Linked DNA regions of Cricetulus griseus. The protein of the gene in region 1 interacts with the protein of each later gene in a pairwise test. Links are inferred from orthologs where the notes say so. Each region holds a gene or a part of one and is shown in the gene's direction. Other genes may lie near its edges. The genes, in order: Wdr6, G2e3 and Ptpn3.

Evidence for each region.
Region 2: the proteins of Wdr6 (region 1) and G2e3 interact in a two-hybrid assay, tested with the Homo sapiens proteins (2 studies listed by BioGRID and IntAct). The two-hybrid records come from large-scale screens. The link is inferred for Cricetulus griseus from reciprocal best matches to the Homo sapiens genes WDR6 and G2E3.
Region 3: the proteins of Wdr6 (region 1) and Ptpn3 interact in binary tests that used the Homo sapiens proteins (3 or more experiments, as listed by UniProt). The two-hybrid records come from large-scale screens. The link is inferred for Cricetulus griseus from reciprocal best matches to the Homo sapiens genes WDR6 and PTPN3.

Annotation. Positions count from the first base shown.
Region 1 is NC_048597.1:216,751,107-216,758,649, reverse strand, and holds the start of Wdr6 (WD repeat-containing protein 6), read left to right. Parts: upstream 1-2,813; 5' UTR 2,814-2,923; coding exon 2,924-3,023; intron 3,024-4,919; coding exon 4,920-7,401; intron 7,402-7,495; coding exon 7,496-7,543. Other genes in the region: P4htm (transmembrane prolyl 4-hydroxylase), read left to right, coding at 626-811, 1,424-1,514, 1,688-1,811, 2,200-2,420. UniProt on the Homo sapiens protein: Together with methyltransferase FTSJ1, methylates the 2'-O-ribose of nucleotides at position 34 of the tRNA anticodon loop of substrate tRNAs. Required for the correct positioning of the substrate tRNA for methylation.
Region 2 is NC_048598.1:150,937,154-150,944,176, reverse strand, and holds part of G2e3 (G2/M phase-specific E3 ubiquitin-protein ligase), read left to right. Parts: intron 1-1,608; coding exon 1,609-1,715; intron 1,716-2,656; coding exon 2,657-2,773; intron 2,774-4,724; coding exon 4,725-4,849; intron 4,850-4,954; coding exon 4,955-5,084; intron 5,085-5,462; coding exon 5,463-5,531; intron 5,532-6,432; coding exon 6,433-6,740; intron 6,741-7,023. UniProt on the Homo sapiens protein: E3 ubiquitin-protein ligase which accepts ubiquitin from an E2 ubiquitin-conjugating enzyme in the form of a thioester and then directly transfers the ubiquitin to targeted substrates. Essential in early embryonic development to prevent apoptotic death.
Region 3 is NC_048595.1:86,574,224-86,581,788, forward strand, and holds the start of Ptpn3 (tyrosine-protein phosphatase non-receptor type 3), read left to right. Parts: upstream 1-2,527; 5' UTR 2,528-3,140; intron 3,141-3,834; exon of another isoform or gene 3,835-3,955; intron 3,956-7,565.

The DNA of each region.
Region 1 (7,543 bases):
TAAAACTAGGCATTGCTGTGCACATCTACACTCCCAGAATTTAGGAGGGGAGGCAGAAGTATCAGGAGTCTAAGATTGTTCTAGGCTCCAGAGTTCCAACACCAGGCTACATCAGACCCCATCTAACAAACAGCAGAAAGAAAACAAAAAATAAAGACAGCGGTTTTGAATGAACAACTTTGTTCCAGCGAGGAGAGTTGAGGCTCTTGACTTAATTCTCCCTATTAATTGGATATCTCTATGTCTGGCAGCCTGGGACATAGAGCTCATGCCACCACCACAGACCCGTGTGTGTGTGTGTGTGTGTGTGTGTGTGTGTGTGTGTGTGTCTTATGTGCCCAAGGCTCACCTTGCACTTGCTGTCTAGCCAAGGATAACCTTCCTGCTTCCACCTCCCGAATACTGGGGTTCCCAGCATACACTACATGGTGTTGATGTGGTGCTGGGGTTGAACTCAAGCCTTGCACACATTAGGCAAGCACACTACAATTAAACTACAGTCCTAGCTCAGCCTCCTGTTCTTAGAAGTCCCTGGGACTTCCAGGGGAGGTGGACAGGGATAAGCTTGTGGCTGGCCCAAGGTGCGTCCACCTTGGTCAGCTCCTGAATGCCTGCTGCCTACCAGGGTGCTGCGCCTCACACGCCTTTCTCCGGAGATCGTGGAGCTCAGTGAGCCACTGCAGGTTGTACGATATGGTGAGGGTGGTCACTACCATGCCCATGTGGACAGCGGACCTGTGTACCCAGAGACCGTCTGCTCCCATACGAAGCTGGTAGCCAATGAGTCTGCGCCCTTTGAGACCTCCTGTCGGCAAGTACCTCCCACCGGGGGGTTGGCTTCAATTCACAGACTGGGTGCACTGAGGATGCAGGAATAGCCTGCTAGGGGCCAAGAGTACACTGGGCCACCCTGGTCAGCCATGCCCCTGCTTTTCCCCCAAGCCTCTCCTTCACTATTTATGGAGTAGCAGGAAAGTGGTGGCTACCGGCCATTGTGTCTACTCAAATGAGAACAGACCCAGATACCCACAGGTACTGACACTTGCCCTCATAAACATGGATCTTGACCCCACTGGTGGGGATGTCAGGCTGACTTCTACAGCTGTGCCCCCCACCCCTGCACAAAGTTAGGGTTTCATGTGGCTGTTCTGGCTCAGTCCTGCCAGTTGCCAGCAGACTTTGCATGTTATTCCTGCTTCTACAAGCTTACCTTTTCCAACCAGGTCTTTGGTCAAGGTCACGTAACTTACCTAAGTACACCTGTCATCTCAGCCACACAAGAAGAGTGGCTCTGTGGGGGTAAAGGGCTAGAAATGTCTTGGCCCTCCTAACCTGACCCTGTGGCCCCTGAGTAACCCTGCCCACAAGTGGGAATATCCTCAGTTGGGGATCCGCTCAGCAGCCCCTCCCCTCCGCCTTACAGTTACATGACGGTGCTGTTTTATTTGAACAACGTCACCGGTGGGGGCGAGACTGTCTTCCCTGTAGCAGACAACAGGACCTATGATGAAATGGTAAGGGCCAATGGGCTATTACTTCTGTGGGTTGGCAGGGCCTTGGGCAAGTGCACACACACCCTTCCAGACCTGGGGTGAGGGCACATGTCTGTTTTCCCTCTAGCCAACTTTGGCTGCCTGACTGTACAGAGGCAGGCAGTCCACAAACATCAACTCCTTGTTGCCCACAGAGTCTAATTCAGGATGATGTTGATCTCCGAGACACTCGAAGGCACTGTGACAAGGGGAACCTTCGTGTCAAGCCCCAGCAAGGAACTGCAGTCTTTTGGTACAACTACCTGCCTGATGGGCAAGGTGAGGGCTTCTCTGAGGGAACTTATCTCTCCCTTCTGCCACCTGAGGGCTGTTTCTGTCTGCTCTCCAAATAGCCTTCTGCCATAACCAGTGATTTCATTAGGCCACAGCGCAGCCTCTTGGGGTATCTCCATCCATTGCCCTCACGCATCAGCCTTTCTGTACTCTGGGGCTAGGGAAATACTCTCAACAACCCAGGCCGGGAAGAGCTATGGAGTGGCTGGCTCAGCAACAAGGAAGCCGGGCAGAGGGCCAGTGTATTGGCCATGCCTTAGTGGGTGAGATGCCGAGTCCTTCCATGGGGATTAGGAGTTTCCACAGCTCAGGAGGGTCCAGCCTAGGGTTCCCTCCCACGTGTCCCTTTGTTCATGCCACCTTCGTCCCCTAGGTTGGGTGGGTGAAGTGGACGACTACTCCTTGCATGGCGGCTGCCTGGTCACCCGTGGCACCAAGTGGATCGCTAACAACTGGATCAATGTGGACCCCAGCCGGGCACGGCAAGCTTTGTTCCAGCAGGAGATGGCTCGTCTGGCGCGTGAAGGCGGCTCCGACCCGCAGCCCGAATGGGCCTTGGACAGGGCCTACAGTGATGCCCGCGTGGAGCTCTGACGCGAGGCCAAGATGCAAGTCACTGCCCATCGTCAAAGACCCTGCAGGTCCTCTGTTGTACTGCAGACTAAAGATCTGGCCGATCTTGCCCTGCCCCTTCCCGCCTGCAGCCGCGATGAGGGGCGCAGTTGTTCCTACGTTCACGTTATTTACTGGTGTACAGCGGCCTCCATGCTGCTCCATCAAATAAAACGACAGGGCTTCGAGCCGGGTGCAGGCCAGCTCCGCGCCGCCTGGGGGAGGGGAGGCCCGCCGCTCTCCCCGCCAGCTTCCCGGGGGGCGGGGGCGGGGCGGGGGGCGGGGCGGCTCCCTTGCTGGGCCAATCGCCAGCCGGATCGCGTGGGGCCGAGGGTCGTCATTGGACGTCCGCGGCCGGGCGCCGGGGCTCCGCTACCTGTAGCTAGGGGATCGGGAGCTCGGCGACGCGGCTCTCAGACGGCTGGTTCTCGCGAGAACGCCGCTCTCTTCTCGGCTGTGGCGGCTGCGGCAGCTTGACGAACGTCATGGACGCTGTCGGGGACTTCGTCTGGCCGCAGGCGACCTCGGAGCTCATACTCCTCCCGGTCACGGGTCTGGAGTGCGTTGGGGACCGGCTGCTGGCGGGTGAGGAGGCTTGGCCCGCTCTCGTCGTGCTGGCGGGCGAAGACGTAGCCGGTCCCCCGGGGCGGTGGCGTCGGGACAAAGGATGCCCCGGGACGGGGACGGGCAGCGGGCTGGGCCCTGGCCGTGGGATGAGGCCGGTTGGGAGGTGGCGGGAACGCGGGCCAGCCCGAGGGGGGCGGGGCTCGGGAGACAGGGCTGAGGCCGTCGTGGCAGCTCCTCCTCAGCTGCAGCCGGCGTGGGGAGGGCGTGGGGAGGGCGGGTGGGGTGCCGTCGCTCCCTACGGGGGGGGGGGGAGGGCATTGCACTCCTGAAGGAATCAGATGAGGTAGAGAACGACGGCCCCAGGGGGCGTGGCACGAGGTTGGCCTCTGGGGAGGGTGAGGCTCCGCCCCCAAAGATGAGGGGCCTGAAGGAGGGTATGGTCGCCAAAAATTGAGTCTGAGACTTCTCCGAGTAGAGCAGTATTGGGAGGGGCCGGGCTCAGGTCCCTCCTGCAACGGTTGGGGCTCTAGGCCAGCCGGGTCAGTAATCACATGACCCAGTGTCTGGTGGTAAAGAACCTAACTCGAAGCCACTAGCCTTGGTGATGGTGGCGGCGGGGGATTCATAAAGCTCCCTAGCACTGACTACTATGCCTCTGGTCAGCCATCGTCAGCCCAACAAGGTTGTGTCGAGGGTATAATGGAGAGTTGATAAGCGGAGGGTGGGGGGAGTGTGTGGGTGCAAATATTGGTTTGCTCCAGTGAGGTGGGGCCAGCAAACTCTTCTGGAAGTGAAATCTGTAGAAGCTGGAGAAAGAGAAGATATGGAGCATTAAGAGAGGAGTAATGTTGCGGCCTCTGGGTTTGGGCTGGGGTGGGCAGTGGCTGGGGATGTTTGCTGGGATGCGGATGAGATAGCGGGAAATGGCTGCAGCGTGGCCAAAAGGAAGCTGCCAGGCCAATTCTGGGAATGTCTGTTGATCTGGGTCTGTGGGCTCTAACACAAAAGGGGTGTAAGAGATTGCCCAGGAAGTGTGAGTTTGTATAGAGGGAGGCACTGGACAAGCCTCTGAGCGTAAGTTAGGAGTGTGGGTAACACAGTAGATGCTGTCTAGGTTTAACCCTCTCAGACCTTGGAGTTGCAGACAGCTGTGAGCTGCCATGTGGGTGCTGGGAATTGAACTCGAGGCCACCAGAAGAGCAGTGCTCTTAACTGCTGAGCCGTCTCTCTTGCTAACTGTACCTCATTCTACCTTCCAAGGGTTCTCTGCTGTCTGGTGCTGTTGAGGCCTTCTAAGCCTGAGTCTCACACAAGGGTTCACCGCTGTCTAGTGGTGAGGCCAGAGCTCCCCTGCCTGTGAGGTGTGGGCTGCTCCTGCCTCCACTCCTGCCAGTGCCTCTGAATATGCACAGGGTTATCGGTTGAGGAGGGAGGGTTGCTGGTTATAGGCTTAAGGTGTGGAAAGGTTGACACAGCCTTTTCCCTGAGGGAGGGAGAGTCATGTAGAGACAGATGAAGCTGAGAATTTGGGGAATAGAGCAGAGTTGGCTTTCCCATCTGAAATGTAACAATGATGGGAGAATTCCTAGTGAATATACGTAAAGGGTGATGGATAGCCAGGCACAATGGCACCGTGCTATAATCTCAGCAGCTGGGAGGCTGAGACAAGAGGATTTTGAATTCAAAGTCAACTTGGGCTGTGTGGGAGAACCTCACCACAAAAACAAGTACCTGAGAAACACATACATTTGAAGTAGAAGTCTCGCTGAAGCTGAGGTCAGGACGTCCTAGGTTTAGTAGGATTTTGTGTCCTTGATATATTAAGTTATATGTTAACAAGTGCTGTGCTCCCATCTTGTCATGGACCACAGCGTTAGGGGAGTGGCTCTGATGTGGCTTTCTACCTCTGTCTAGGTGAGGGGCCTGACTTACTGGTGTACAACTTGGACTTTGGTGGGCATCTCCAGATGGTGAAGCGAGTACAGAACCTGCTTGGCCACTTTCTTATCCATGGTTTCCGAGTGCGACCAGAGCCCAAAGGAGACCTTGACTCTGAGGCCATGATAGCTGTGTTTGGGAGTAAGGGACTCAGAATTGTCAAAATTAGCTGGGGTCAAAGCCATCTTCGAGAGCTCTGGCGCTCTGGCCTGTGGAACATGTCCGACTGGATCTGGGATGTACGTTGGCTTGAAGGCAACATAGCCTTGGCCTTGGGCCACAACTCAGTGGTGCTGTATGACCCTGTGATAGGGTGCATGCTACAGGACGTACCCTGCACAGACAGGTGCACCCTCTCCTCAGCCTGCCTGATTGGAGACACTTGGAAGGAACTGACCATAGTGGCAGGGGCCGTTTCCAACCAGCTCCTGGTCTGGTATCCAGCAACTGCTTTGACAGACAACAAACCTGTGGCACCTGACCGTCGGGTTAGTGGACACGTGGGTGTCATCTTCAGCATGTCATACCTGGAAAGCAAGGGCCTGCTGGCAACTGCTTCAGAAGACCGAAGTGTCCGTATCTGGAAGGTGGGCGACCTCCGGGTACCTGGGGGTCGGGTGCAGAACATTGGTCACTGCTTTGGACATAGTGCCCGTGTATGGCAGGTGAAGCTCTTAGAGAATTATCTCATTAGTGCAGGAGAGGACTGTGTCTGCTTGGTGTGGAGCCATGAAGGTGAGATCCTTCAAGCCTTTCGGGGCCACCAGGGCCGCGGTATCCGGGCCCTAGCTGCTCATGAGAGGCAAGCCTGGGTGATCACTGGGGGTGATGACTCAGGCATTCGGCTCTGGCACCTGGTAGGTCGTGGGTACCCAGGCTTGGGCATCTCAGCTCTGTGCTTCAAGTCTCCCAGCCGGCCAGGTGCCCTCAAGGCTGTGACTCTGGCTGGTTCTTGGAGAGTACTGGCAGTGACTGATACAGGGGCCCTGTACCTCTACGACCTTGAGGTCAAATGCTGGGAGCAGCTGCTGGAGGACAATCGCTTTCAGTCTTACTCCCTGCTGGAAGCAGCTCCTGGTCCTGAAGGCTTTGGACTCTGTGCCTTGGCCAATGGGGAGGGTCTTGTCAAGGTTGTCCCCATCAACACTCCCACTGCTGCTGTGGACCAGAACCTGTTCAGTGGGAAGGTACACAGCCTGAGTTGGGCCCTCCGTGGCTATGAGGAGCTTTTGTTGTTGGCATCAGGCCCTGGTGGGGTAGTAGCTTGCTTGGAGATCTCAGCTGCACCCACTGGCAAGGCCATCTTTGTCAAGGAACGTTGCCGGTACCTGCTTCCCCCAAGCAAGCAGAGATGGCACACATGTAGTGCCTTCCTGCCCCCAGGTGACTTCCTGGTCTGTGGAGACCGCCGTGGCTCTGTGCTGCTATTCCCTGCCAGACCAAGTCTGTTCAAAAATCCTGGGCTTAGAAACAAGGCTATTACTGAAGCTGAGGCCCCTGGAGCTGGTGATAGCAGTGGTGGGTCTGAGAATGTTCCAACAAGGTTAGTCCCAGTATCTACCCTTCATTCTCTGCATGGGAAACAGGGCGTAACCTCAATTACCTGTCACGGTGGCTATGTATACAGCACAGGGCGTGATGGCACCTACTACCAGCTCTTTGTACATGGTGGCCAGCTCCAGCCAGTCCTAAGGCAGAAGGCCTGTCGAGGCATGAACTGGGTAGCTGGGCTTCGCATGGTGCCTGATGGAAGCATGGTCATCTTGGGTTTCCATGCCAATGAATTTGTAGTGTGGAGCCCCCGGTCCCATGAGAAGCTTCATATGGTCAACTGTGGTGGAGGACACCGCTCCTGGGCCTTTTCTGATACTGAGGCAGCCATAGCCTTTGCCTACCTTAAGGATGGTGATGTCATGCTCTATCGGGCTCTAGGTGGCTGCACTCGGCCAAACGTGATTCTCCGAGAGGGTCTGCATGGCCGTGAAATCACCTGTGTAAAGCGTGTGGGCACTGTAACCCTAGGCCCTGAATTTGATATACCCTGCTTGGAGCCTCCTGACTACCTGGAGCCCGGCAGTGAGGGGCCTGGTCTGATTGACATTGTGATTACATGCAGTGAGGACACTACTGTCTGTGTCCTAGCGCTTCCCACAACCACAGGCTCAGCCCACGCACTCACAGCTGTTTGTAACCATATCTCTTCGGTGCGTGCTCTGGCAGTGTGGGGCATTGGTTCTCCAGGTGGCCCACAGGATTCTCGACCAGGTCTTACTGCTCATGTAGTGTCTGCAGGGGGTCGGGCTGAGATGCACTGTTTCAGCCTCATGGTCACTCCTGACCCCAGCACCCCAAGCCGCCTCACCTGCCATGTTATGCACCTTTCATCCCACCGGCTGGATGAGTACTGGGACCGGCAGCGCAATCGGCATCGGAAGGTCAAGGTGGACCCTGAGACCAGGTAATGTGCACTCCCTGTCGTGGCCATGGAAGAAGCTACAGGCAGGTGTCTCCTGGCTTGCAGGCTCCACCTGACAGCTGTGTTCTTCCTGTAGGTACATGTCTCTTGCTATTTGTGAGTTTGACTCCGACAAGCCTGGCTA
Region 2 (7,023 bases), on another chromosome or scaffold:
CTTCTTCAACATCCATCAACTCTCCCTCAACTGTGTCAGTCCAGATAATAGTTTTGTGTCTTCTTCTGTTGTAATCACTGTCTTTACTGCTCTAAACTAATTGGTATAGATTTTTTATTTTCTGACAATTGTACTCTCCTTGAAGCTTCTCTTTTTTCTGAATTTGATTCACCTGTTTAGTCTTATTATTTAGTTCAGTTTGGTGAGAATGTCATATTAAAATATATTTCCTAAATTACATGCTCTCTGTCTTACTATGGAAACTTCCCTTGAAATGTCTTTCATTCTTTTTTCTTGGCAAACCTCTATTCTAAAACTTGCCTTTTTTCAATATTTTATTAATCAGTGGCTTTTTCTCTTTGTTCCTTGTATATACTTTAAAAACAAAACAAAACAACATTTCTAAAGCCAGGCATGTCAGCACTAGTCTGTAACCTCAACATGGGCCATGGTGAAATGGTAGTGAAAGGGTTCTGAGATAGATGGGTTCTTGGAACTCCTTGGTAAAGTCAGTCTAGCTAAATAGGTGAGTCCTGGCGTCAGTAATTAACGCTGCCTCAAAAAAATTAAGTGAAAAGACTGACATCAGCCTCTGGTCTCCACATGTACACCTATGCACACGTAGATAGACACACATACAGATAATACTTTCACATTATTTTATAGTTGTGTGCCTGGTCACTAGAATTCTTTGTTTACTAGTTTTGCTACACAGCATTGTTTGTCATCTAAGGAAGTAGAACTTAAATGAATATCTGTTACTAGTTTTGGGGGACTGCTGCTCATTCTACAATGTATAGTGTCTTATATCCCTCTGGATGTCATCTGGTTTGTGATTATGTATTTGCTATATAACACTGTTAGAAAATTCAGTGTTTCTCTTTTGGGGGAAAAATCAACATTGAGTTAAAAACAAATAGTAATTTTATATAATAATAAACACCTAGTCAAGTAACTGAAGATTTTCATTGTTTGTCCTTATACCGTGGAGGACAAATCGATATTTAGGAAATGAAATTGTTTTACGTGTCTGTGCGGGTTAGCTTTTGGCTACTTAACTAGGTACTCCTGGGAAGAGAGAGCGTCAGTTGTGACTTTGCCTTCAACAGATTGGCCTATGCATATGTCTGTGGGGTGTGGACTACAAATGATGGAAGAGGGTCTAGCCTATTGTTAACAGGTGCTACCCCAAAGCAGGTGTGTCCTATGTAGTACAAGAAAAGTATCAGGTTCTGAACTGGATGGAAGCAGCTACTCAATGCTCCAGGCTCCTGCCCTGAATTTCTTCCCTCAGTAATAGACAGTGGCCTGGGGGTTGTTTTCATCCATGTTTTCTCATGGCAGCAGAAAGTAAACTAAAGTAGTATTACGGTCCGAGAAAGTAAAGTATTGACTGTTGAAAGGATTATGTGTTTTCGAGATGCTTTTTAAACAGGAGAAAAGGCTGTCCGTGTTTAGGGTGACTGCTTATAGTTCTGAGAGCCATTGGCATAGAAAATATTTTCAGGATACATCAAGGAAAAGGTAGCATATGTTCTATTAGTTATATAATTCACAACCCGGTGAGAGATGCATTACTAACAATAGATTTTCCATTTTCTGCTGTAGGTTCAAGCAATAAATGCAGGAGTGTATTTCTTTAGGTGTACACTATGCAATAATACCGATATCTTTCAGAAAGAGATGTTGAGAATGGGAATTCATATTCCTGAAAAGTGAGTAACATTTGGCTTTATAACCAAAAGCATTTAAATGTAGTATTTAGTAACATTAAAACTAATAATTTTTGTCTTAATAGTGATTGTGGCTAAGTAGCCATGTCACATGATCAAGTGCCTTCTCCCAGATGGCCAGCTCTTGAGAAACAGGCACTATGGTGTCAGTGTCTCATTAGCTGATGTGTCTCTTAGTAACTCAGATAAGTCCAATTCTGGTGATATGTATAGCATCTTTAAGTTGGTATCCATAGATAATCTAAGACAGACTCAATGGGTTTAAAATAGAAAAGAAGAATTTTAGTGATGCCATAAATAAGATGAGAAATCTCAAGCAGTGATTAATACTTGAAAGTAAAAATTGTACCCCAGTCCTTGGGAGGCTTAAGGTGTATAGGTCAACATGGATTGTGAAGTGAGTTCTAGGCTTGCTTGGGCTAGAGTCTTGGGTCAGGGAGAGGAAAAAGAAACACCAAAACAAACACACTTAGTAATCCCGGCATGTGATCCGGGTGGTGGTGGCACACACCTTTAATCCTGGCATTTAGGAGGCAGAGGCAGGTGGATCTTTGTAAGTTTGAGGCCAGCCTGGTCTACAGAGTGAGTTCCCAGACAAGTCTGTTAAACAGAGAAACTCTGCCTCTAATGGGGCGGGATCCCAGAACTTGAGAACCTGGGAAGAGGTGGGACTTGAATTTGAAGTAGCCTAGGATATAACAACAAAAACCGGAAATGAAATACTAGAATAATAGAGGTTTTAGAAAATTCTGTTCAACTTTTCACTTAGTGTTTGAAAGTTAACTGTGAAACTGACTGTAAGGTAAAGTAACATAATAGATTTCTATGTTGAAAAGAACAACCTAAAAAGGTACTTTCATCCTTGTTTCTAAATTATTAATTCCGTCAGACCAACACACTTTTTGCATCTTACTTCATTATAGGGATGCATCTTGGGAATTAGAAGAAAATGCCTATCAAGAGCTGTTGCAGAGCCATGACCGCTGCGATGTTCGAAGATGTCATTGCAAAAAAGGGCGAGACTATAATGAACCCAATAGGTATTTCTGCAAGTTGCATTGTGTTTAGTTCTTCCTTACTAAGATGTTAGCTAAGACTGTAGGTTGTCTGGGTGTGAAATGCAGTTTTCCTCTTAGGGTGTTTTGAAGTTTTAACTTGAGATGAAGTATGTTTATTAATTGTGTCAATATATAGTCAATATAGGAAGTGTTTTTGGTAAACTTTCATGAGGTTATTCCAAGCTGAAAGCTCTTGTAACAAAGGGCTGAAGACTGGATGGGACTTTAGAGCTTTAGAGCTAGAGGTGCAAGACCTAGGGACCTATGGCTTTGTTTTACTCAGAAGCATTGCCGGGAGGTGATACAGGTGACTCCTCATTGTGTCCTCATGGTGGTCTCTGTGATTTTCTGTGGCCTAATCACTCTCTTAAAAATATGTTATTGTCCTGCTAATGTAGTCTCCCATAACTCAGGAGGGTTATGGTACAGGCAACTGTTGTAATGAAGGATGCTTGCTTTGTAACTGTATTCCTTCCATTCTAATAAGACAAAGGCAACTTAGTGTAGTATGGAGCATGGGTCTAAAGCCCAAGCAAAGTGAATTGGAAACCTCACCCTAAGACATACAGGAATATACGGTTAGGGAAATAGCCCTCTGTGAGTGGTTCATTCCACTTTCAAAATTGTAAAAGCTGAACATTTTATACAAAGAATGAGAAGGGGGCCTGGTATGTAGTAAACACATATTTTAGCTGCTATCTTCGTCATTGTGGGTGAGTAGAACTATTTTGAGGAGGCAGAGTCAGGCACCTATGCTCCACCCATTCACACTAATGTGGAAGATGCTTATGTATACAGGTGTTGGAAGAATAGCCATTCAACTTGCCACCCATGTTTCCACATAGAATATATCTGTTTCTGTACAGAAGACTGTGTACTCATCCCGACAGAAAGTGAGAGAAGCTTCAGTCCAACATCTTTCTAGTATATACTGTGTGCTGGCCAGTTTATGTCAACTTGACACAAGCTAATCCTCTAAAAGGAGGGAAACTCAATTGGAAAAATGCCTCCAGAAGATCCATCTGTACAGCATTTTCTTAATTAGTTGATCGGGGAGGATCACCCCAGTTTGGTGGTGCCATGGACCGGTAGTTCTGGGCTCTATAAGAAAGTAGGATGAGCAAGCCATGCAGGGCAACCCAATAGGTAGCACCATTCCATGGCCTCTGCATCAGCTCCTGCCTCAAGGTTCCTGCCCTGGGTTCTCTCAGTGATGATCCTATAAACACTTTCCTCCTCAAGTTACTTTTGGTCTTGGTGTTTTTATCACAGCAATCAAAACCCTAATAATACACCTATATGGAAATGTATATGGGTATTACAGGCACAATGGGTGACAAGAAGAAAGGAGCAGAGATGAGAAATAATATAATATGAGTCAGAAACAAACTATATTGGTTGCATTGCATGGCATCTGAAATATGTCAGAGCATTGTTTTTTATTTGTTTTGTTTTGGAAATCCTGCATACCTTCATATTGCAAACTTGTGTATCAGATAGTGAACAGTAATCTCTCTCTGAATGTAATCTATCTCCAAATGTAAAGGAAAATATTTTTCTCCTTATAAACTTTTCTGATATTTATATTCTTTGTATATATGTATATCAGTATTCATTTAGGTTTTTAAGTTCAGGATGTTTAGAGGAAGAGATTATAAACATTAAATGAAGAGAGAAAATACTTTAGAATCAGATGTGCTATGGCATTCCAATAATCCAAGCATTTGGGATGATAAAGTAGGAAGGCCACTGGTCACGGCCAGTCTGGAGTGCCTAGCCAGACCCTGCCTCAATCAGTACTTTCGTGGGGCATAGTCTTTTCCTTCCTTTGGTAGGTTGGTGTGGTGTATGACAGAGGGCTGGATTTAGGTGCTAATCTGAATGACATCCAGCATGCACAGAACATGCAAATATACTATTTTTATGTCCTCAGCAAATGGGAAGTAAAGCGCTGTCAGTGTTGTGGTTCTAGTGGAACACACTTAGCCTGTTCTACACTACAGTCACTGGAACAAAACTGGGAGTGTTTGGACTGTAGAAGAATCACCTACAATTCAGGTAATAGTTTGTAAGTTTGAACAAAGTTATTTTTGTTCAAGTGTATGTTCTTGAAAATGTTTATGTAAGTTTCTGTTAAGCTAACCTCTGGATTTAAATATGTAGATTTCCGAAAGGCCCCCAAACACCCGTTAGCCAACTCTACTAATGTGACAGTTACTGATTGCCTGTTGGAAGAGTCATCACCTAAGCTCCCCAGACAGTCAGCTGGAGCCCAGCATAAAGAATTGCTGAGGTATGTGTATTGATTTTAGAAAAGTCACTTTGAAAATTATTACTTAAGATGCCAGACACACTTAGTTTATTAGCTGATCATACAGTTGTATGATTTTCAAACTGTAGGACCCAACATGGGATGCATGAAGTCAAGGAAGGGTGGGAGGACATAGAATACCTTGGCAAGGTCACATACTGGTAGCGACATAATGGATTTGAGACCAGCCTGGGCTATATGAAAGTCTGTATTATAAAGGAAGGGAGGGAGATAAGCAAGGTATCAGGCTATATTAATCAATTTTAGTATTTTTCTCCTTTTATACTGAGCCATAATATAAGATATTTTAAAGATTTTAAGCATCCTGGAAAATATCTTTACAACATTATTCAATTACAGACTAAAGCAAGAAGTTCAATTATCAAGCACACCGTGTCCCTCTATAAAAGAGTCCTGTTTAACACAAAGGTTGGTTTCTTGATTTTATAACCATTGGTTACTTTATATATAGTTAATGTCAGGGGCCTTAAGCAAATAGTTTCTCTTCGCTAATTCAACTGGAAACTATAGTTATTTTTATGTTAGAATGATTCATTGTTTGAACATAATTTTAATATTTGGGTTTCCAAAGACATTGCACTAGAGAAACTTGACTGTTTCTGTTTCAGCATCTAGTTATATGCTTGAAGAGCAGCATTGACATTCCCAAGGAGCAAGGAATCAACTGCTATAATAAAATGTGGCTGCAATGTTTGGGGTAGGACAATGTTATAGAAAGATGATCCATGTACATTGACTACATTAGTTCTGCCTGCAGATGGAAAATCTGGGGCAGAAAGAAGTTAATCTAACTCATGTGCTTCATGGATGCTAATACACAGAGATTTTGGTAGTGCAGACGTGCCTGGGGGCTCAAGGATTTGCATTTGTAACTAGTTTACAGATGATGCTGTTGGCATAGATGATTAGATTGAAAGATATTTAAGGGAACATGAGTTCGGTTGATAATATCTGCATTATCAGTTGTAGCTACACTATTGAGAATACATTATTGATACAATCGAGTTATTTTAGCTATTGGCCAGTAAGTAATATTTTGAATTTCATACCCTTAAATTTGAGTCCACTGAATTAGATATTCAAATAAACTTCAATGTTAAGTGATTATAAGTTGGGGTTAGATTGTGGGAATTTAAAAGTAGATAATCTGATAAATGTTTTGGTTCCAATATCATCAAAAAAAAAAAGCTGTCTTTTTAAACTTAAAAACAGAACAAACAAAAAGAACTACAACTTTAATGTTGTATAATTGTTGTTCCACAGAATTTGCTTTACAATAATGATCTTTATTTGAATTTGTGTTTTCTAGGCAAGGCAGCAAATTTAGGAGAGACATTTCAACAATATTGCTAGAGTTAGGATTCCAAATTAAAAAGAAGGCTAAGAGATTACATATCAACAAAGCCAATGTGTGGAGGAGTACCTTAGAGCAGTTCCAGAGTCAGAAGTTTAACCCTTCATACACCATTGAAGTAATGTATGTTAGTGAAAATGATAACTTGGGAAGAGAGCATCCTGGATCAAAGCAGGAATTTCTGAGCCACTTAATGCAATATCTTGAGACTTCATCTCTGTTTGAAGGGTCTTTGTCAAAGAACTTGACTCTAAATTCTCAAGGTAACTTTTTATTATTATTTGTACTGAAAATAGCATGTATAGCAAAAAAACAAGATAGATGCTTGTAATTGATTCTTTAGTTATATCTGGAATAAATAATTTGCATTTGTTATGAATGAGAATTTGCTATTTTTGAAGGAAGGATTCAGAATATCTGGGGTTGGAGAAATGGCTTAGTGGTTAAGAATGCTTGTTGTGTTTGCAGAGGACCGGATTTCCAGGACCCATGTCCAGCAGCCCTTAAGGTAGCTTCAGGGTATCAGCACCTATGCCGCCCTCCGGC
Region 3 (7,565 bases), on another chromosome or scaffold:
GGGGGCGGGGTGCTTTGTTCCAGCAAACAGCAGTAGGACAGTTAACTCTACATCGCATTACAGTCTTGAGTCTTGAGAGGGTCTGTGGACAATGTGTCTCCACTAAGTCATGACCCTGTCCCCACTCCCTAGCCCCAAATGACTATCCAGGGACATCATCTATCTACATAAATCCCTTTGGGCCTGGCCTCATTCTCTGGGGCTCAGAACAGTCCTATTCACTACTGGGCGTTATTTGCTTTAGAGTTAGCCGTGAAGATTACATGTCCATCCAAAAGTCCCATTCACAAAAGAAGGGACATGTACACTATAAAATCACTTGTCATTGAGGCTAATAACATCACGCCAATCCAGCCACATCGGATTAAAAGGCGGGGCTTGACTATTTTGGCCCCAAGAACAAAACAGTAACAGTAGACCAGAATGTTAAAAGTAATCTGCAGCCTAAAAAATACATCAAACTAGGGGGGGAAAGGCACACAAAGGGCAGAATAAAATGACAGTCTCCTTTACTCATCAATCAATGGCTAGCTCCTTTATATAAGGCAACAGACCATAAAACCTGACACCCCGCTATGAGGTCAATGGGCTTGCCTTCAAATCCTCCCCAGTGTGTGTCACCAACTGTGAACCCATCCCTGTCCCCAGCTGTGAACCCACCCCTGTAATTGTTTTCAGTGAAACTGAGATAAAAACAAACCAAACCACCTACTGTAAAGATTGAAGAATTCATGGAAAACATTGGCCACATTTGAACTTAATCATGGATGTGTGTGTTATTTACTTGGGGGAAGGTTTTTGAGACAGGGTCTCTCTATAGAGCACTGGCTATACTGGAACTTGCTAGCCAAGCTGGCCTAGAACTCACAGAGATCTGCCTGCCTCTGCTTCCAGTGCTGGGATTAAAGATATGTGTCACCATGTCCAGGTCTTTAAGTGTTTACTATCACACACACAACATTAAGACATTAATTAACTTTAAAAACCAAACAAAACAAAACATAGAAGCCCTGGCTGTCCTGGAACTTGCTTTGTAGATCAGGCTGGCCTCAAACTCACAGAGACCTGATGGCCTCTGCCTCCTGAGTGCTGGGATTAAAGGTCTGCAACACCACTCCTGGCTTCAAAATTCTATTATTTGCATTCTTAGTGGTGTGTCCATGCCACCTTTTCACAATTTGTTGCTTTCAATATTTTCATTTGTTGTTTCCTGTTGTTGCATAGTGATAGAAATAGTTTAAGTTATAATTTTATTTGTTTATTGTGTGTATGTATGCATGTGCATGCACATGGAGATCAGAGCATAACTTGCTTGCAGGAGTCAGTCTTCCACCAGGTGGGGCTTGGGGATTGACTGATCTCAGGTCAGTTTGTCTGCAAGTGCCCTTACCCACTGAACCATATCAAGGACCCGAGAGATCTAGTTGTAATTATTTCAGTGAATGGATCTGAACACAATCAATCATTACCCTCCCTTTGAGCATCTGCTTTGTTCCAGTTGGGGAGGAGGATTCTTTTATTTCTTTTATTATGTTCCTGGTTCTGTTATGGTGATTTGAAATACGAATTTAAAAAAAAATCTTGCTTGTTGGTGGTAGCACATGCCTTTAATTCCAGCACCTGGGAGATAGAGACAGGTGGAAGATCGAGGCCAGCCTGGTCTACAGAGAGAGTTCCAGGACAGCCAAGGATACACAGAGAAACCCTGTCTCGAAAAACAAAACAAAAAATTAATAATAATCTTTAGGGATTTAAGGTTCACAGCTATTTTCTAGCTCGAATCTGAGACCATTGCTTAAGCAATGATGAGCAGAGAAAAGGTAACGGTTTTACTCCAGCAACTTTAAACTGGACAGCGCTAAGAATTCTCCAGGCCTCATCTTAGCAGTCCGTGTTACGAGAGGATGGCATAATTGAGATAGGCACTTCCGAAACGAATATTGGGGTAAGGCTTCTAGTGGTAGAGATTCGTGCTTATGGTGTGCAAAGCCCTGGATTCAAGCCTCAGCAAGGGGTAAATATTTAAAGTGGACTGAATAAATTCACGTCCTTTTTTATTTTATTTTATTTTTCCAATCCCCACACGCCCCCGAATCCAAGCGTAGGCATTTGTATTATTTAGGGCACAGAGAGCGCAAGGCTCTGGTAGCAGATCACACAGCAGCTGGTAGAGGACAGAGTGTGCAGTCAGCTGACTCTGAATGGTCTTCCCACCATGCTTGGGGGAGGAAGGTTACCCAGCACTCCCTGCCCGGAGGCAGAAGGCTGAGCCTGAGATGACCAGGTGGGACTCGGTGTGCAGCCTCACCAACCCCTCCAGGGGGTTTTTCCTTCCGGACGCTGGGCGCCCCAGGCTCCGAGCATGCCCAGTGCTCTCCCTGCCGGTCCGAATGGTGCTGCCACGGCGCTGTGGCTCCAGGTTTTGCGTACGATCCTAGGCGGGGCCAAGGCAGTGCAGCCCCCGGGACTCCCGGCTCTGTCGGAATTCCCCGGACGCGACGCTCCCGCGGCTCCCGCAGCGGTGCACTACCTTGGGACCGGGACCGGGATCTAAACCAGTAAACCAGGCACGGTCGAGGGTCTCATGGTGCCTAGGGGACAAAAGGTTCTCGGGACATCCGACTATAGGGGTCCTACCCACCTCTACATCCTCCGGTTAGCAATCTTCATTCAACAAAAACGTTTTTAGTTTGTGCCAAGAGTTGTTTAGAGGTTAGGTCTCTTGAGAGGCGGAGCTACCGAACTGACACTGAAGGGAGGTACTCCTTACGGGGGACCCAAGCCAAGAGAGACAGCCAGTAACCGACCCCGTTTGTCCCTGTGCCCTCTTTCCCGTGCCGTAGGCACAACACCTGCGCTCCTTGTTTTGGCACTGACTTTTCCGTCCTAGGAAAGCTTCCTCGTTTAGCTGCGTGACTGAATGGTATTTGTCACCTGATCCGGCTGTTCCACCAACTCTCATCAGGCCACCCCCCTAGCCTTCTTGCCCAGCTCTCTCCCCCACCATCCCCACCCCGTTCTTAAGAATTTATCACCTCATACACTGCGTTGTTTGCGGACCTGTTGTTTGTTGCGAGAGACTCCCTTCCAAACTCCCAGCAAGGGGCAGAAATTTTGTCTATTTATTAAATGTGAAGAACGTAAGTAATTGTTGAATGGATACGTGATACTTGCTTGGAAGGCGATAACGGACGTGGAGAGTGGCCAAGAGGTCAGGGCTAGTTTAGAAAGGTAGCCAGAAAGGCCTCTCCTACGGAAGATACCTGTACGGTGAGAGGGCGCCGGGCACCAGCTAAGTTGGGGAAAAGACGTCCTACCCCGAGGGAAAGGCAGCGCAAACGTCCCGAGGCGAGTCAAGTTCAGAGGGTGTGATGAAGAGGAAGGTGCACTCAGAGCGCAGGAAGGCAGGTGTGGGAGGAGGCGGAAGAGGCAGGCAGGAACGCCCTCCAGCTAGGGCCCCTGCTGGCCTTGGGACAGGCTAACCTGTTTGGCGTCCTAGGACCAGCAAAGGACTGTGCTGGAGTGTCAGCGAGATCCCCAACTCAGCCACGGAGCCCGGTGCAAGCTCGCTGTCATTTCAAAGATTCATTGAGCGCCAAGTCCTTGCCATTCCTAGGCATGCAATCCCGGAAAGTCAGGCACACAGTAGGTGTTCAATAAATGCTTAAGGTATGAACGGCAGCGAACGTGAGCCGGGGTCTCGGAGGTCCGCGGGATGTCGGCAGGTGGCCCGCGAAGGGCATGGCAGCGTGCCCCAAGCCTGCCCCGGGCCCGCCCCTGTCCCGGGTCCCCCGCCCCGCGCGCGGGCCCGTCGCGGCCACAGCCGGGCCGGCGGGAGCCGCCCGCGGGCTGCACTGGGCATGCTCAGACGGCGGCCAGGTCGCGGCGCGAGCGAGCTTCCGCGCCGCCCGTCCGCGCGACCTACCTGGGCGCCCCGCGCCCCCGGATGCTGCAGGTATGGGCGGCTGGGACCTCCGCGGGGTGGGCCGGGGCGCTGGCTGCGGAGATCAGGGACTCGCGGGGCGCCACCCCACCCCCACCCGGCCCGGGGCGCGGCGGACATGCGGGAGGACTAGCGGGAGGGCTGGCAGCCCCGGGTCCCCCGCGCCACGTCGGGCATCTTGGGGGGGCGCTCAGGCCCGGATCACCTGGCGGGGCTGGGGCGGGGCGCGAGCGGGGACGGCGCAGGGCTGGGCGTTCAGGACACGGCGGCGCGGGCGTGGGCGTGCGCTCCAGTCTGGTTGAGCCCTGGGCCCGGCGCCGCGATATAGTCAGCCTCGCCGAGGGGGCGCACGGCCGCGGGGATCCATCCGTCCGCGGCCCCCGAGGCTCGCCCCCCAAATTGGGGGGGCGCAGTTCGCCTCCCAGTTGCAAAGATGGCATTTCCTGGGCCTGGCACGAACTCCAGAGCTAATCCAATCCGCCCCGTTCCGCGGGCGACCGGGTGGCTTCTCTGTTAACTTGCGGTGACATTGCTGCGTTGTGCGGAGAGAGAACCGGAAACCCTCGCCCCCGGTTGCTGCCACCCAAACTTATTACGAACTTGAGGGTTGCCTTTAAAAAATTCATGGGAAGTTAAGACAACTTGGCACCTGGTGTTCCATGAAGGTGCAGGGAGCTTGTGGTTAGGAAACGCGAGACCTGGGTTCAAGTTGGGCTCTTTACCTTGGCCAGTTGGTGACCTTGGACGAGTAGTTTAACCTCCCTGATCCTCCATTTCCTCCCTTGCATGCAGGCAGTAATAATGCCCACCTCGCCTGGTTGGTGGTGGATTAAGTAGGATAAATGATGTGGAGGTGTTTGGCTCTGTGCCCGGCACAAAGCAAGCGAGCAGTTGGCGTGATGTGATTTTAATTCAGTTAGAGACCCTCGTGGCTCCCATTTCGTCAGGAAATTAGAATTAGGCAAGCATTTTCGGAGCCTGTGTTTGTGCCCCGGAGAAGGTCTGCTGAGGCTTTGGAAAAGCAACTGAACAGAACGGTGGGGAGCAGAGAGCCTCTTGTTTAAAGGCAGTCTGGAGTTAAGAAACTCCAGAAGTTGACACTTGGTCCCCACTTGCAGAAAGAACTGTTTCTGCAAGATGACCCGCCTTGCAAATGAGTTGGAAAGCCTGTCTGGGAAGATGCCGATGCTGCAGAGCTCCCATGCCTAACCTTAAGTACTTGGATCAAGGTTTGTCGGCATCTCACAGTGGGTTTGTGTCTTCTTTGCGGTGGGTGCCCCTTGTGCATTATAGGGTGCAAAGCAGCCTCCCTGGTATTTGCTCAATTGGTTCTTGCTGCAGCCCTTTCCATGTGCCAACCAGAAATGCCACCATGTATTGTCTGGGTTGACGTGTCTCCCCTTTCAGTAGAATTAGTTGTGATACGCTCTGCTTTTTGTCTAGCCTAGGCTATCTGAGAATTTCATCTGGGGCTTTTTATGATAATAACGAACCTTTGCAGTTAGTTACCTCGTAGAGTTGTGCAGTGTGTATGAACATCTCGTTTAGGTTTTACAGTTCTCCCTGAGAGGGTGGTGTCACTCCCATTTTATAGAGGAGGAAATTGAGGCTCTGAGCGGGCACCTGTAATTGTCCTGATTGTAACTGGGATGGAGGAACCCAAGGCTTCTGGTTCCAGGGACAGGGCTTTTTCTTCTGGATAAGACTGTCATGTGTGGCTAGACCTCACATAGATGTCTTTCCTGACGATTAAATCAAGATCTGGACTGTATTGGAAACTGGAAGCCTTCCTGAGATTGCCTAGTTGAAAATTAACAACAGTAAGCTATTATCTGACAGGGAGTAGGCCATTCTAGTTAAATATTCTAGTGTATGAGCACTCCCATAAATCCCCACATACAGTTAATGGAATACCAATCTGCCGAGAATTAGAATGGAATAAAAACGTGCCTAATACTCTATATTGATCTGGGTTGTCTCTGGTGATTTGTCTTCTCCTCCAAAGACTAGTGTATGCAAATTAGACATGAGTGGCAGACGGGAGGTCAGGTTGCTGAGGGCATTTGGAAGAGATGAGGTGAGCCTTTGAACAGATGTTTCTGTTTGGCAGCTGCAGGGCTATGGGTAGGGAAGCAAGGTGAATAGGCCAAGGGACCCCCCCAGCCTGGAATCTTGGTGCACTTCCCTGCAACTCAGGCCAGATCTTAGTGTGTGTGGCTCTTGGCTCCCAGCTTACCTACGAGCTAAATTCAAGATCCCAGCTTGAAGCCCTCATTTTACCTGACTGATCTCATAGCAAAGGTATGATAGCTTTTAATATGCTTGCTGAGGTCTCAACTCCATGCCAGAGAGACAAGGTCATAGGCAAATCTTATCCCAGGAAGAAGTTTGAGTTTTAGGTTGATATTCGGTCTCAGTCCTAGGGTAGTAGGTAATTGCTCTTAGTTTTTATTGGCTGGAAGTTTAATTATAGTGTTATGCCCCACTCCCTACCCCCACCAACACACATACATATGTGAGCTAGCAAAGACTGAGTGAGACCAGAGCAAGAGGACTCACTGTGGCCTTCTGAGCTACACATAGGTCCATGAATGCAAGGGGCACTTGTTTTCTAGAATGAGTATAAATAACCTCCCGGAATGACCAGAAGACATGGAATACTCTCTTTCCTTTCAAGGGACTGGCATGTTGGGAAGGGATTGGTGATTTGTGGTCCCCTCTCTGACCATAATCGCAGGGCTTACCTTCCTGCACCAGTCAGTCAGTTCCTGGAAAGCAAAGCCTGGCCCCATTTCTCTCCACAGGTTCTGCCAAGGCTGGAATCCTGATGGTATTCTACATACCTTAGCCTGGCTGGGCTGGTGGGCATGGGGGCTGGTCCTCTGCTACCTTCCCCTCATATTGTAGATAAGAAAGGACTGGATCGAATGCATGTTGCTGTTGTCTGGGTCCAGTGACTTCAGCTCTCGTTTTACAGAGGTCTCCTATCATTTGGTGGAGGAGACTTGGTGAAGCTCTTCTTAGTCCCCTGGCTGAAGTTTGATCTGGCCTTTGCTCCTAGGACCCAGAAGTCTTGCATCTCGAGCCCTTCTGCTAGTGTCAGCACCTGAAGCCACCTCTACCTCCAAGTTATCTAGTTATCCCAAGGCTCTCATAAGTGCAGGTCCAGTAACAAATGCAGATTTTTTATTGTTGTTATTAAGTCTAGACTATGTGTCAGGCCCTAATGCTGCAGAACTGGAAGCTGAATTGGGCTGTGAAAGTGTACGGCGGGCTTCTGAAGACCATATGAACTTGTGCATGTGTGTCTCTGTCTACTCACCTGTCTCCTAACTGCTTTCAAGTAGGATCAACTTAGATACAAGTAAGGGTGGCAGCCACACATCCATACTGTGTTAGTTTTCTCACTGTTTTGACCACATACCTGACAAGAGCAGCTTAAGGAAGGTTTATTCTGCTCCCATCACATAGTTCATTATGGCAGGAAAGTCATGACTGCAAGAGCTTCAGTTATCTGGTCACATTGGCTCCACAGTCAGAAAGCAGAGAGAGATGGCTGACCCCTGGTGTTTTGCTCACTTTCTCCTTTTTATGTAGTCTGGGCCCCAGGTCATGAGATGGT